Caenorhabditis elegans: one gene and its partner. The protein of the gene in region 1 purifies or fractionates together with the protein of each later gene. This does not show direct contact. Each region holds a gene or a part of one and is shown in the gene's direction. Other genes may lie near its edges.

What was found. Proteins that work in one complex are often made in the same cells at the same time.
Region 2: the proteins of ctsa-3.1 (region 1) and ndub-3 fractionate together in Caenorhabditis elegans (co-fractionation; one large-scale study listed by BioGRID). This does not show direct contact.

What each region holds. Positions count from the first base shown.
Region 1 is NC_003280.10:7,229,573-7,237,616, forward strand, and holds ctsa-3.1 (Serine carboxypeptidase ctsa-3.1), read left to right. Parts: upstream 1-3,280; 5' UTR 3,281-3,281; coding exon 3,282-3,448; intron 3,449-3,967; coding exon 3,968-4,130; intron 4,131-4,588; coding exon 4,589-4,725; intron 4,726-4,775; coding exon 4,776-4,914; intron 4,915-4,956; coding exon 4,957-5,048; intron 5,049-5,102; coding exon 5,103-5,270; intron 5,271-5,311; coding exon 5,312-5,495; intron 5,496-5,543; coding exon 5,544-5,882; intron 5,883-5,927; coding exon 5,928-6,263; 3' UTR 6,264-6,348; downstream 6,349-8,044. Other genes in the region: F32A5.4 (uncharacterized protein), read left to right, coding at 226-429, 532-657, 707-880; aqp-1 (Aquaporin), read right to left, coding at 6,356-6,536, 6,584-6,914, 6,960-7,097, 7,171-7,297, 7,349-7,465.
Region 2 is NC_003280.10:8,962,786-8,968,498, reverse strand, and holds ndub-3 (NADH dehydrogenase [ubiquinone] 1 beta subcomplex subunit 3), read left to right. Parts: upstream 1-3,608; 5' UTR 3,609-3,609; coding exon 3,610-3,740; intron 3,741-3,792; coding exon 3,793-3,859; intron 3,860-4,042; coding exon 4,043-4,156; 3' UTR 4,157-4,257; downstream 4,258-5,713. Other genes in the region: szy-20 (SUZ domain-containing protein), read left to right, coding at 64-372, 493-1,106, 1,161-1,302; sec-62 (Translocation protein SEC62), read right to left, coding at 1,845-1,910, 1,960-2,282, 2,327-2,446, 2,531-2,782, 2,828-2,940, 2,992-3,067, 3,116-3,239, 3,305-3,325; sftd-3 (Vesicle transport protein), read left to right, coding at 4,356-4,471, 4,518-4,616.

The sequences.
Region 1 (8,044 bases):
AGTGACGCGACTCATTCTCGCACTCACATACCACCAGCAGGGCGCGAGAAGATCAAGTGACGAGGCGTTTTATAGGTATCCTCGTCACTCCTCGACCGCCTGGAAGGTCTCATTCTACGTCATGAAATTTATAGATTTTTGAATTTTCCTTTAATAAAAATGAAAACCCAACGTTTAAGAGGGCTTCCCCAATAACGGTGCAACATGACTTGGCATTTTTTTCAGCAACTCCGTAATATTCTCAGCCAACGTCGTGAAAACCTCCGTAACCGTTTGATGTCTCAAGGAAGAAATCAACAACAACAAAGCAATGATGTCAGCAGCCAGGGAGGAAATGACGATGGATCAATTCCAAAGGCTCCAGAAAAACCATCATTCTGTACTGCTGAAGATACTACTCAATACTATTTCGATGGATGCATGGTTCAAGTAAGATTTATCTTATAAATAGAATTAAAGAATTATGAACAGTATTACTGTACAGTTGGCCTTCTTATTTGTCAAACCACAATTCTATAATCTTCTCTTCAGGGCAACAAAGTCTATGTTGGTGGACAATACGCTCGTGACCTCTCTTCTGATGAGATTTCTGAATTGCAAACATTCGATACTCAACAAACCGCTTACCAAAATGCCGTTCAATCACAGATGCAAAGCGTGAGTTTGAAAGTTTAAAAGCTATTAATTCAAGATTCATTAATTTCAGCAAGTTCAAGGCCTCTTCGGTGGATCTGACTTCCTTTCAGCTTTGTTCGGAGGAGATAGGTTCAATCAACAACAACAAAGACAACAACCATCTTCCACTACTCCAGCTTCTACCAGTTCCACTACTCTTCCACCAAAACCAACAGTTCCACAGTTCTGTACTGCCATTTTCTAATTTTGCTTTACATCTTCGCGACCCCCATTTTACAGTTGAAAATCATCAATTAATAAGCAATCAAATATGTGCATATAACAGCTACGGTCCACATTTTCCCAAAGAACCTTGTACAGATAAATAACGTTATTGATTATCAATAAACAAATAAATCGTAGTAAAATAAATCGAAGGCAAATTGATTCTTACGTGAATTTTTTAATAACTGAGAATTCGATCGGTTTTTCAAGTGATTTTAAGGAAATAAAAAGTGTCACGCGAGAATGAAAATTAGGTCCACGTTTTAATTTCAGATCTTTTCAAAACAGAAATCATCAAAAATGAACATGATATTCGTAAATAACGTGTTCTCAGCATTCTAAAAACATATTTTTCGACCCAAATATCCCAATTTGATTTTTTGCCATTTTCCGAAAGGCAAAAGTCCGATTTCGTTTTTTGGAGCGGAGGACGATTTTGGAGATGTGTAGAAATTTCAAAATTTTTTTGATGGGACTTGATAGAGCACCAAAAAATGCGATGTTTCGTCCACATTTCAAGTTTCTGCGTTGGATATGAAGGGTTTTATCGATGAAAATGGATTTTTCTGGAAAATGGTCTGTAACTCGACTGAAGTTTGAATTCTTGGAAAGATTTTGTGGAGAAATGTGAAAAAATATCTATAAACCCTATTTTAACTTATATGACATTCATAACTTGCTTATTTCATGAGATACATCCGTTTCATCAAAATTAGTTTCAGATTATTTGTGCAATTTTGTTCATGGATTACTATCTCTAGGAAATACCAACCTTACTGGTGCAAAACTAGATGCAAACTGTAGGAATTGAAATTTCAATCAATTTCACAGCAGGCAGTTTCTTTTGAATATGCTTAGTTGTCAAAATACTCCTGTTTGAAATTTCTAGAATCTAAGAGTGGCAACAGTTTTTCAGGTGAAAAGTATATTCCAAGAGTTGCCAGTCGGAAAAAACGCTTCAAAATTGTATGAAAAGTTTACAGAGCTTCAGTTCATATTAATATTTTTTGTTTTGTTTGAGAAATTCAGCTTAAAGCGAGAAAAGTACCTAACTCTCAATTAATGTTTCCAATTGCTATATAAATACCAATTTTGTGACAAGTATATCTTGAAAAGCAGAAATTTTTGCACAAAATGTTTGACTGAGAAATTAATGGAAAATATCTTATCTGTCTGTCACAAAAACCTGCTTATTGATAAGTATCCTAGTTTCAGAGATACATGACTTCAAAGTTATTTTACCAAAAAACGTCCAAAAACTTTGGTTCCTCTTCCGTTACAACGGTGTATCTACCACAAGAAAGATTTTTGTGAGATATTTTTATTGATTTAACATTTTATAGATATTTTCAAAAATAATCTGTAAACTTTTTTCAAATAACTTCAACTTCAATATAGGTTACAGGCCATTTTCCAAAAAAAATCCATTTTCATCGATAAAATCCCTCATATCCAACGTAGAAACTTGAGATTTGGATGAAACATCGTAATTTTTGGTGCTCTATCAAGTTCCTTTAAAAAAATTTTGAAAAATCTGCACATCTCCAAAATCGTCCTCCGCTCTGAAAAACTAAATCGGACTTTTGCCTTTCAAAAAATCTACATTTGAAAAGAAGGCGTGGTCTAACGCACGTTTTTCCCCGTGAATGGCGGAACCCTGATTGTCATCGGCTGCTTTATTGTTTTAAAATAGCATATTTTCTCAATTTTACTTGCACCTGTGGTTTGACGGCTTATATCTCGGTTGCCTTAACGTTTATCAAAAAATTTTCAACAATCAAAATATAGAGAAAAATTTTGTACGTGTTTTGTCCGTTGACACTTCTTTAATATGACTAAAGACAACTGAGATACTGAGACTGAGACTGTCAAACAAGAGCAAAGGGGTCTAATAGGGGAAATACGGTCATTTTATTTGTCAGAGACTTTCATGATTTACAGGTTTTAAAGGGCTAAACTGAAACAGCTACAATGAAGCGTGATGAAAAAATTTGTCACTTCAAAAGCGTACTTCCATATTCTAAGTTTCTAAGTTTGAAAGCTTTTTCGTGGAGAATGATCAGAACCAAAAAGTTTTCTCTATTTCTTGTCATTATTTGCTCTTGACAGGTAAACCCAACCCACATCTATTCAGCCAGAATTGTAGTATTTTTTACGACTCGAACTTTGTTTCCATACTGGCACTCGCAACACATTTTTTTCAATACGACACCATAAAAAGGATGGCTTCAAAAAGCGAATTATTATAGTGATAAGCATATTTCTTCTTATCAATTAGCAACTCTATGCAACCTTCATTTCTTTAGAGTCTACCGCATTTTTATAGATTTTTTATTACGATTTTCATTAATTCTGATCATTGAGAGTCCATTTTATTCAGAATGTGTCGAACTCTACTTGGTGTAGCTTTTCTAGTTGTGACGGTCCTATCTCAAGGAGAAAAGGATTTGATCCAGAATCTGCCCGGTCTTTTGTTCAAAGCCAATTTCAAGTCATATTCTGGATATGTCGATGCAAATGCAAATGGAACATGGAAAATGCATTATATGTGAGTTTTATATTCTCGGCAAATCTGGAAATCTGAAGTCTTATTTTCAAGTGAACCATTAGTGAATGTATTTTTTTCGAATTCATTAGTTCTCAAAATTTCTCAAAATTCCAGCTTTTTGCTTTCATATAGTTTCTTAGATCTTCTTTGAAAAGTATACTCCTTACTCGAATGCACGTTTTTTTTGTGAAATTTCGCAGTTTACACAATGATTGAAGATCATTCTATTTTCGGAACTCATTGAACTTCAAAACGTATTTCTCATCAAAATTTCAAAAGTTCCCTTGAAATGTCATTTCTCAATTGAATAATCATCAATTCATTTTGTTGTCACTATTTCTTCTGTTTAATTTAAAATTTCCACCTCACGAAGCATCAAGTAGTCATCTAATTCAGTCATAATTCTTGTGTAATTCTCTGCAAATACAATTAAAAATTTACTGATAACGTTTTTCGCTGTCCATGCGAAAACTGATAAAATTATTGGAAATACAAATTAAAAAGAAATTGTGCTTCCAGGTTGACAGAATCTCGATCAAATCCAGATACTGATCCATTATTGGTATGGTTCAATGGAGGGCCAGGATGCTCATCTCTTGGAGGACTTTTCGAAGAACTTGGTCCATTTTATGTTAACTTTGATGGACAAACTCTTTATGAGAACCCATATGCATGGAATGCGGTAATTATTATTTTTGGGGAAAAGGATAAGCTGTTTGCAATTCCAAAGACCAGAGTTTTATTATGTAGTTAAAAGAATTTCAAATCAGATTCCTGTAACACTCGGTTGCCTATGAAAACCGAAATGATAATCATAACTTTCAGTTTAGACTACAACTCTTTTCGATCAAAGGCGGTTTGCTAATTACCATTCGAAGACCACGTTATGATATTTAGTTCTCGTTGAATTGATAGAGAAAAGAAAGTTTGAATAGAAAATAGTCTTGCTTACGCAAATTTCAAGTTTTATTGCTTTTTGCAATTTATCGTTGAAACCTCATTTATTGTATAGATAACAAATTTAGGCACATAAAACACAACTTTGTGTAGTTTAAAAATGAAACCAAATTGAAACATAAAAAGGGACAGGGACATGTATTAGGATAATAAAAACTATAAATTTAATATTTAAAATTTCAGAAAGCCAACGTTCTCTACTTAGAATCCCCAATTGGAGTTGGTTATTCATATGACACTACTACTCCAGGATACTTCCAAGCTAATGATGATCAATCAGCTGCACAGAATTATCAGGCTCTCACAAACTTCTTCAATGTGTAATTGAATTTTAAGTCTAGATACGTAACAGAAAAATGTTAAATTTCAGTGCTCAACCTAAATATACGAACAGAACATTCTATCTTTCTGGAGAATCGTATGCAGGAATTTATATTCCAATGTTGACCGATTTGATTGTACAAGGAATCAACAATCCCAATCAACCCTTTCCAAACAAAAACTTCCAGGTAAAATAATTACACAATTACTTCAAAACATGTCTAATTTAGGGTTCTGCAATTGGAAACGGATTCATGAATGTAGCTGGACTTCTCAATGCCCTTACCCTTTGGAGTGCCTACCATGGACGTGTCTCTGAGCAGTAAGAACATTTTAAAACTGTTTTGTTCGTTTTAAACTGAACTTATTTTTTCAGGAATTGGGCCGACATCAAAGCAAACTGTTCAAAGGGAGCCGACGTTGACAGTTTTGATTTCTCTCAATTCACAACTTCTCAAAATAAAATTGACTACGTAGGAGATGGCTCATACTGCGGAAACCTCATTCAACCACTCATTTCGCAAAACGCTTTAGGAAATGAAGGGTATGAGATTTTGTATTTTATATATTTAACGTAATTTTCAGATTTGACCAGTACAACTTCTACCAAGAATGCTATGACAAATCTGTCTTTCAAGCCCCACCACCAGCTGGAGGAAAGAGACACAAGAGAAGTGCTATGCAAGGAGTATCTTCGGTCCAGAAGAACTTGCAATATCAACAACTCGGAAACTTCCAAGGAACTTCCAATTTGGCAAAGAACACTGCTGTTAGTTTATCTTAGTTTGTTAATTGAAACGCTTGCTTCATTGTTCAGACTCTTGTCAACCGTTTCTCAAATGACAATCAATTTGGATATTTTTGCTGGAATGAAGATGCTGTGTCAAAGTATTTGAACAGTGACAATGTGCAGAATGCTCTCAACATTCCACAAGCATGGAAGGATCAGAAAAACACATGGGAAGATTGTAGAATGTCTATCTATAATAATTATACTCTGAAATACAACACTACCAATCGATTCTTCAACAATATCATCACAAATCTCACAACCGACTTCCGTTTCTTAATCTACAATGGAGATGTCGATACTGTTTGTAACTATTTGGGAGATGCCAAGCACATTCTTCAAGTTGCTAAAGATAATGGACTTACCGTAAGTCACTTCTACCGTTAAATAATATTCCAATTATATTTTAAGAGTGGGCCACGTACCCCATGGTATTACAGTAACAACCAACAACTTGCTGGATATGTTCAAACTTACTCTGGCAAAAATAAGAACAATGCTATGATCACAATTGATCTTCTGACTGTAAAGGGAGCGGGACACATGGTTCCATATGATCGTGCAGGACCATCAGTTCAAATGATCTCCAACTTCGTTTGGGCTCCAAAGAATGTTGTTATCAACTATACCAGTCAAGATAATTTCAATCCAAACATTCAACTTTCTGATTTGGTTGACAGTGGATCCTCATCAACTGTTGCTTTCTTCATTTCTATGTTCGCTGTATTGCTCAACATCGTTTTCTAAGTTTTTTTCTAATTTATTGATTCAAGACTATATATGTAGTAATGTTTTTTAAACATTTGAAAATTCAATAAAAATGTACATAATTATTAGATTTAAGCTTGAAGCAATTTTTGTTGCTCTACAGATTTTGGTGGTTGTTGAACAAAAATATCGTCGGCTTCTTCGATGTCAGGATTGTGCATTCCAAGGGAGAAATGATAGAACCATCCACCGACAAGAGCACCAACAAATGGAGCAATGGCTGGAGCTAGCCAATAGTTAGGGTATGGAGAGCTGAAATCATTATATGAGATATTTGTGAATTGACACTGTGAACTAACTGGAAAACACCTGGACCATAGATAAAATAACTGAAGAGTCGTGGTCCGAGATCTCTTGCTGGATTAATTGGATATCCAATGTTCATTCCAAATCCAGTTCCGATCATCATTACCAAGAATCCGAAGAACATTGGATGCCAAATTTTTGGAATTTGATTTCTCTCATCAATAACAACGCAGAGGAAGTATGCGAGAACTCCGGTACCGACGCACTGATCAATGTATGGACCCCATACTCCAAGATTTGGAGATGGATAACTGGCAAAGCAACCAGCTGTTCCAGTAGCTCCGAGGATTGTGCGATTACCTCCATCAAATGCATTGAATTGTTCTGAAAATTTCAAAATAATTTCAACAGGGAGAATAAGTAGGATACCATAGTAATAAGAGTACATTCCAAGAGAAGCCACGAAAGCTCCAGCGGTTTGAGCAATTGCGTACAGTGGCACCCAAGCAAGTTTGAGATGACCAAGAGACCAAAGTAGAAGGGAAACAGCTGGATTGAGATGACCACCTGAAAGATGTTGATAAAAGTTCTTAAAATAAAAAGAAAATTGAGCAGAAGATTTGATTCACAGAAATATTACCTGACATCCTAGCTGTTGCCATAACTGCAAACATAATTGCAAATCCCCATCCTATGTTAACTCCAATCCATTCAGTTGTCTTTCCACCGCCAGCATGGAATTGGAAAACAATTGAAAGACCGATAAACTAAAAAAAAATCAAATTTTCAAATTACTATTCAAGAAACTTAAAACTAACACAAAGAAGGAATGTTCCAAAAAACTCGGCGATGAGGTTCCTTGCCAAAATATTTGTGTGAACTCCGTGAAACCTCAGCCTTTCAGGCAAAGTATCTTCCTCGGCCGTCATGATTTTCTGAAATGTTGTTAGATTGATAGGGTGCAGACTGCTCGTAACAGAAGGGTTTCTGCTGATTATCAAAATGAAAAGTGTACTGAAACATTTTTCTGCTATTAAAAAAAGTTGGTGTCACGCACACAATGAAATTGATAAGAAGGCGGGAGGTTGAAATGAAGATGGCACCGTCCAATCTTCTTTCAAATGTTAATCCCGTAAGGTAACCAAAGCCGACAAGTACACTTTGTCAGTTCTTTGGGCAAAACTGTGTGTTATGATATAAGAAAAAGAGACAACGATTTGAGGAAGTACCGGCGGCAAACAGTTTTGCTGGTGTACTTTTTGAAAGGAAAAGAAAGAAGACTAAATAGTCTGGTGGTGTGTTTGGTGGTGTACGATAAAAATGTTTGTTGGCAGCTCTACTGTACCTTGGGAACTTCCTCTTCGATTGAGACAACGCACGGAGAATACATTTTGAACATAGATATATTTTTAACTAAAAACTTGTAACATAAAGAAATCAAAATAAATAAAACCACGTTGTAATTGCGTATTGACACAAACGTTTTATATTAAATACGTGAAACTTTAAGTAAA
Region 2 (5,713 bases), 1.7 Mb from region 1:
GTAGCAGGGAATTTAACTCAGTTTTCGTCCTAACCTGTATTACTTTCCTAACCCGATCTAAAGCTTCAGCAGCCACCACCATCGGTATCGGAGAGCGGCGGAGTTTACAATGGACCGCCTGGGTTTCAACAGAAGCAACCAAATTTCCAGCCAACGTTACAACAACAATCGCTTCATCAACAACAGTATTTGGATAATCAGTATATGATGCAGATGAACGTACAAATTCCGATACAGTATCATAATCAGACCCAACATCAGTTTGTTCCGCATGAAGCCTCAGCTATTTCCACAACATCACAAAACAGCAACGGTGATGGTCAAAATGATCAAGCGATATATTATTATCAGGCGCCTACCCAACAGCCAATGGTTTGTTTTTTTGTTGTTGTGATTGTAACCACTCCTTTCTAATTGAATGATTTATTTGGTTAATACCATAAAAATATGACAAAATAATGGACGATTCAAATAACCTATTAATAGTTTCAGAACTACATTCCGTACAATCTACCAAACATGGCCTACCCACCTCCAAACTTCCAACCCCAAGGACAACTGCACCATCAAATGAATGCAGGACAACTACACCAAATTCAACAACAACAGCAACAATGCCAACAGATTCAACATCAACCGCCTCAGCAACACCAACAGGTTATAAATGGCCAAGTGATGAATCAACAGAACCAAAGAAATCAGGTGAATAGTTATCCACAGCAGAATGGTGCTGGTCGTGGACAGAATCGACAGCCGATGATGTATCAGATGCCATGCAACAGTGGGCCGACAGCAAAGCCCCCGCCGTTGATGAATCAAATGCAGAATAGATGTATGACCAACAATGGTCAAAACTATCAGAATAGGAATATGCAGCAGCAAGGTCAGCAGCGATCATATTCGTCACAGCCTCAGAATGGTCAGTTCTACCAAAACGGAAATTCCAACCAGAACAATCCGAATAATGGTAGAAAACAGCAGCATCAGCCACAGCAGCAGCAGAACAAATCAGGAAAATTCGGACAGAATAGAAATGATATGCAAAAGAACAATTATCAACCAAATCTACAGCAACCTCCGATGAGTCAAAATCCAATTCCATTTGGGTGAGTTTCAATTACTTGGCTCATTTTAAAATATTGTTAACATTCTTTTTGCAGATGCCCACCACGTAATGTGAATGCGATTCGAGAACAACACGCAAACAATGGATCCCCAAACACTGGCGCTGGAATTCTTGGACCACATCCAATGATGTCTGCATCCCAATGGCCAGCGTTGCAGCAGAATCGGCCTCAATAGTTTGTTATTCCATTCTACGAACACTCTATAGACAATTCATGCTTTAACCACGTCTTTTTGATGTGCTGTGATGGTCATCTTTTCACATTTATCTCCCTTTTCTTGTTCCATCAGTCCGATTCGGAATTGTGTTAATCAACACGGGTCGTACTTCCTCTTTCTCCCCCCATCTCCACATATTTATATCATTATTTTCTACATTCATTTTGGCATGTTTCAAGTTATTCAATTTTCTATTGTTATATGAGCCAAGTTTGATGAAGAAATTATCTTGTTTGACTTTTGTATAGACCAATTTATTATATGTCCAATAGTGGACCGAAACGGAAACATTCAGATTTTAGTTATGCAAGAACAATGAAGAGTGACTGAGAAAGAAGAAACTAGCCAAGAGGGTAATCACAGTATGGAAGAATGGGACGAAAAATAGTATTTAAAATGTGACGAAACCGACAGGATGAGGGTAATGCAATAGATTTTCAGGACAAGTTTTCATAAATGCAGAAATGTGGAATGGAAAAATTTCAGGATAAACTAAATTTCTAGACTTTAGCTGGACGACGTTTTCGAGGAGCATCGTCACTTGGTGATGGTGGAGCAGAGATTTCCTAAATTTCAAAATTATAATTATTTAAATTGAAACACTTATCAGATTACCTCGTCTTCAATTTTTTCATAATTATCATCAGTTGATGCCTGACTATTTTTTTCAGCATCATCGTCTTCTTCCTCTTTTTGCTCCTGTTCAGCAGCAATGTGGTCTTGCTCCTCCTCTTCTGCATCAGAATCCTTTTCTTTTTTCGACTTTTTATCTTTCTTATCTTTCTTAGCTTCTTTCTTCTCATCACCAACATACTCATAAGTATACCATGGTTGGAATGATTCAAGAACTCCACAGTCTTCAGTCAAGTTCGGCAGAACCCAGAGTTTGTGTTTTCCGAAAGTAACAGCGTAGATAATTCCGAAAAGAATAGTACGGACTGAAAATAATCGAAAAATGAATATTATTGTTGAAACAACTCACGTATAGCAGTGACAATGATAGCTGCAAAACATCCAATTCCAGTAATTGATACGTAATAAACTCCTTGGCGAAGCCATACAGGCCATAGAGGGAACAAGCATCCGACAATTGTACCGACGACTGAAATATATTAATTGGATTTTAATTTTACACATTGAATCATTTCTAAAGCAGGAAATAACAAATCAAAAAGGGAAAACTTACGCATAAGTACTCCAATAATCTTTTTCATGAGAGGAGTTGGATCGAATACCCAAACGTAGACATCTTTGTCATCGACGAATGCTTGAACTTCATGTACAAGAAGCTTCACCTTCTTTTTCTTTTTTTCTTCGTCTTTCTTTTCGTCTTTTTTCACTTCTTTCTCATCACCTTCAGCTTCGGTTGCTGTTTCTTCTTCTTTGGCTTTTTTATTTCTCTTTTCAACTACACCTTTTGGAGATTTGGTAACTTCAGCTGAAAAAAACGTGTTTTAAGATATTTTTTAAGTTTTATGATTACCAGAAGAATCGTTTCCTTTATCTTTATTCTCTTTTTTCTTTGCTACTAATTTTTTTGCACGGAAGAATAATTGTTTCGAGTTGAGTTCGCAAATATAATGGAAGCAATCATCTCTGAAAATTTAGAATCTATTTAAATTTACGTAATTTCTACAGAATGCCCACCTTGTTTTAAACATTGCATCTTTCTTTGCTTTATTTCCGTACTTGGATTCCCAAAGAGTATCGACAGCTTTATTTCCTGAAAATATATGCGATATTAATATAAACAATTGAAATTTGTACATACCACTGAAATAATGAACTTCGTTTCCTTCAAACATGGTCGTGGCTGTCGGACAATTGAATCTGATGTATTTGGCAATGTCTTCTTGCTCCTTCGTCATTTTTACGGCATCTTCCGTAGATACGCCCTGAAATTTGAATTAAAACATCGTTCTTTTCTAGTTAATATTGATTTTTCCGAATAAAAACTCACTTTTTGATTACGTTTCGACATGGTTAAAGTTTTCCTTTATTAAAAAAGCAGAAAAAATGTTGAGAATCTGAAAATACAGCCAAAACAAAAGTGGTGCGTTGGAACAAGCCAAAATCTCCTGACAATTGATTGAGAAAAGTGTGCCGCAGTTGCGCTCTGACGGAAAACGCAACTGCCGCACGCTTACACACCGCGTAAATCTACACAAACTCGGCTGGCATTTCTTTCTGATTTTATCGTTCTCTTCATTTATTTTCATAATACAGGTTTCTAAAACATTTTTTTTCAATTATTTTAATTCCAGAATGGGTGGAGGACATCACGAGCCGTTTAAGATCCCAAACTACTCAATCTACAGCAATTTTCGCGATTTTCCACAGTTGGCGCAGCATGAAAAACGACTCGCTCAAATCGGATTGAAGGATCCATGGATCAGGTCGGTTTTTTATCGATAATATTAATAAATATATTATTGATTTTTCTTTCAGAAACTACGTCTACTTGTACGATCGAAAGTATCCACACGTTGTTGGACAATGGGCTCATTTCAAGAAGGTTCGTGTTTTCTTCGAGATGAATTAAATATTATTAATATAATACCAACATAATATTAAAAAATTTTTATGGATTGTATCCTATAAATGTGCTCTTGTTTGGAAAATTTCCGAGCAAGCCGATTTTCCAAAAATTATATTAATGTATTTAGGGAATTTTTTAAAATTATTTAATAAATTTCAGTTGATTCTTCCTGGATGGAAAGCTGGAGTTGCATTCACAGCTGCCTTGATTTTCGTTGAAGAAGCTTACCAATACAAGACTCACGGAACCACCTCATGGGATGGTCATCATTAGAATTATCTGTTTCAAATCTCGAGCCGATTTCTTTTTTTTTAGTTTAAAAGTTTTCTTTTTGTGTATGTAGTTTCTTAAACTCCAATAAATCATTCATTTTTAAAATCGCAATTCACCCTCGTTGAAAATTGGTATTCTGCCAGAAAGGTTTCTATGATAACGATGTCAATAAATGTTTTACAACAACAATTTAAAGGGCATGTCTGCTCTAGAGCAGTTCATAAATGATCAGAAGAAGAAAGGAAGTGGTATCAGCAGTTCAGCTTCATTTTCTTCATTTGATTCACTTCGCAACAAGCTTCCAACGTCTATTGGGTAACAAATTTCACTTAGAAGAAATGTATAAAGTTTGAAGTTTCAGAGGATTTTCCCTACTTTCCCGAAGCGAAACAACCGATAGTCAGCAGTTATTAGTTGGAGATGATTCTGGAGATGGACAATTGCCAGCTTCCAGAAATCGGTATGTTTTGTTCAGAAAAACAAAAAAAAATAAACTGAAAATCTTGATTTCTTTGAATTAAATACTCCTAAGTAGGCAAATATCAATTAAATATTATATATTTCAATTTTTAACTGATGAGAAACGGATAAAATTGTTTTCGTTTTAATAGACTCAAAATGGTTTTGAATTACTTAAATTTCATAATAAGATTACTCAAAAACTTTCAACGCTTTTTTGGCAGTTCGAAAAAAGTTTTAAAAATATTTCCAAAAGCTATGTTCACTTATCAGCGAAATTTTACGATTTTCGCGACAAAAATACGGTAGCCGGTATCGACACGCCGTTTTTTTGGAAAACAAAAATAGATGTGAGCCTTTAAAAAGTACTGTAGTTTAAAAATTTCGTTGCCGCTGAATTTTCATCGACTTTACATAGTTTTTCGGTAAAAATATACTTATTTAAAAAATTAAAATATGAATAAGCTATAAAAAATCGACGAAAATTTCACATTAACGAAAGTTTGAAATTACAGTACTCTTTAAAGGCGCGCACCTATTTGAATTTAATTAAATTAGTTGTGTCGAGACCGGACACCGTATTCTTTGCGCAAAATTGCAAGCCCGGGAAATATTATCACTCTTTTTGTGTTAAAACGACAAAATATCATTGCATTTCAAAAAAGGATATCTTTAAAATTTACAGTCAAAAATTGGATATTACTCAGCTTTAGAAACTTATAATTATCGAAGTCAACCAAAAAAAGGATTTTTTACGAATCTTACTTCTTATTTAATGTTCTGAATATTTTTTTAGAACATTTAAAATTTCCAAACATGCGAAATGCTTCTTACTTCTAAAAAAAACCAAATTAAATTGGTATTGAGCCAAAACTATGACTAAATTGTTTTCGAAAAATCGTAATTTTTTAAAGTAAACAAAAAAAAATCTGAAAATATATTTTGTTAAATTTTCCATGTATTAATTTTTAAAGTATTCATTCATAAAAAAATGCCAAAGATATCCGTTGCAAAATTCAACTCAATTAGATTGAAATTTATATTTTGTTTTTGGATAATTGGTTAAGTTAATCAAAAATTTATCACAGTAATATCAAT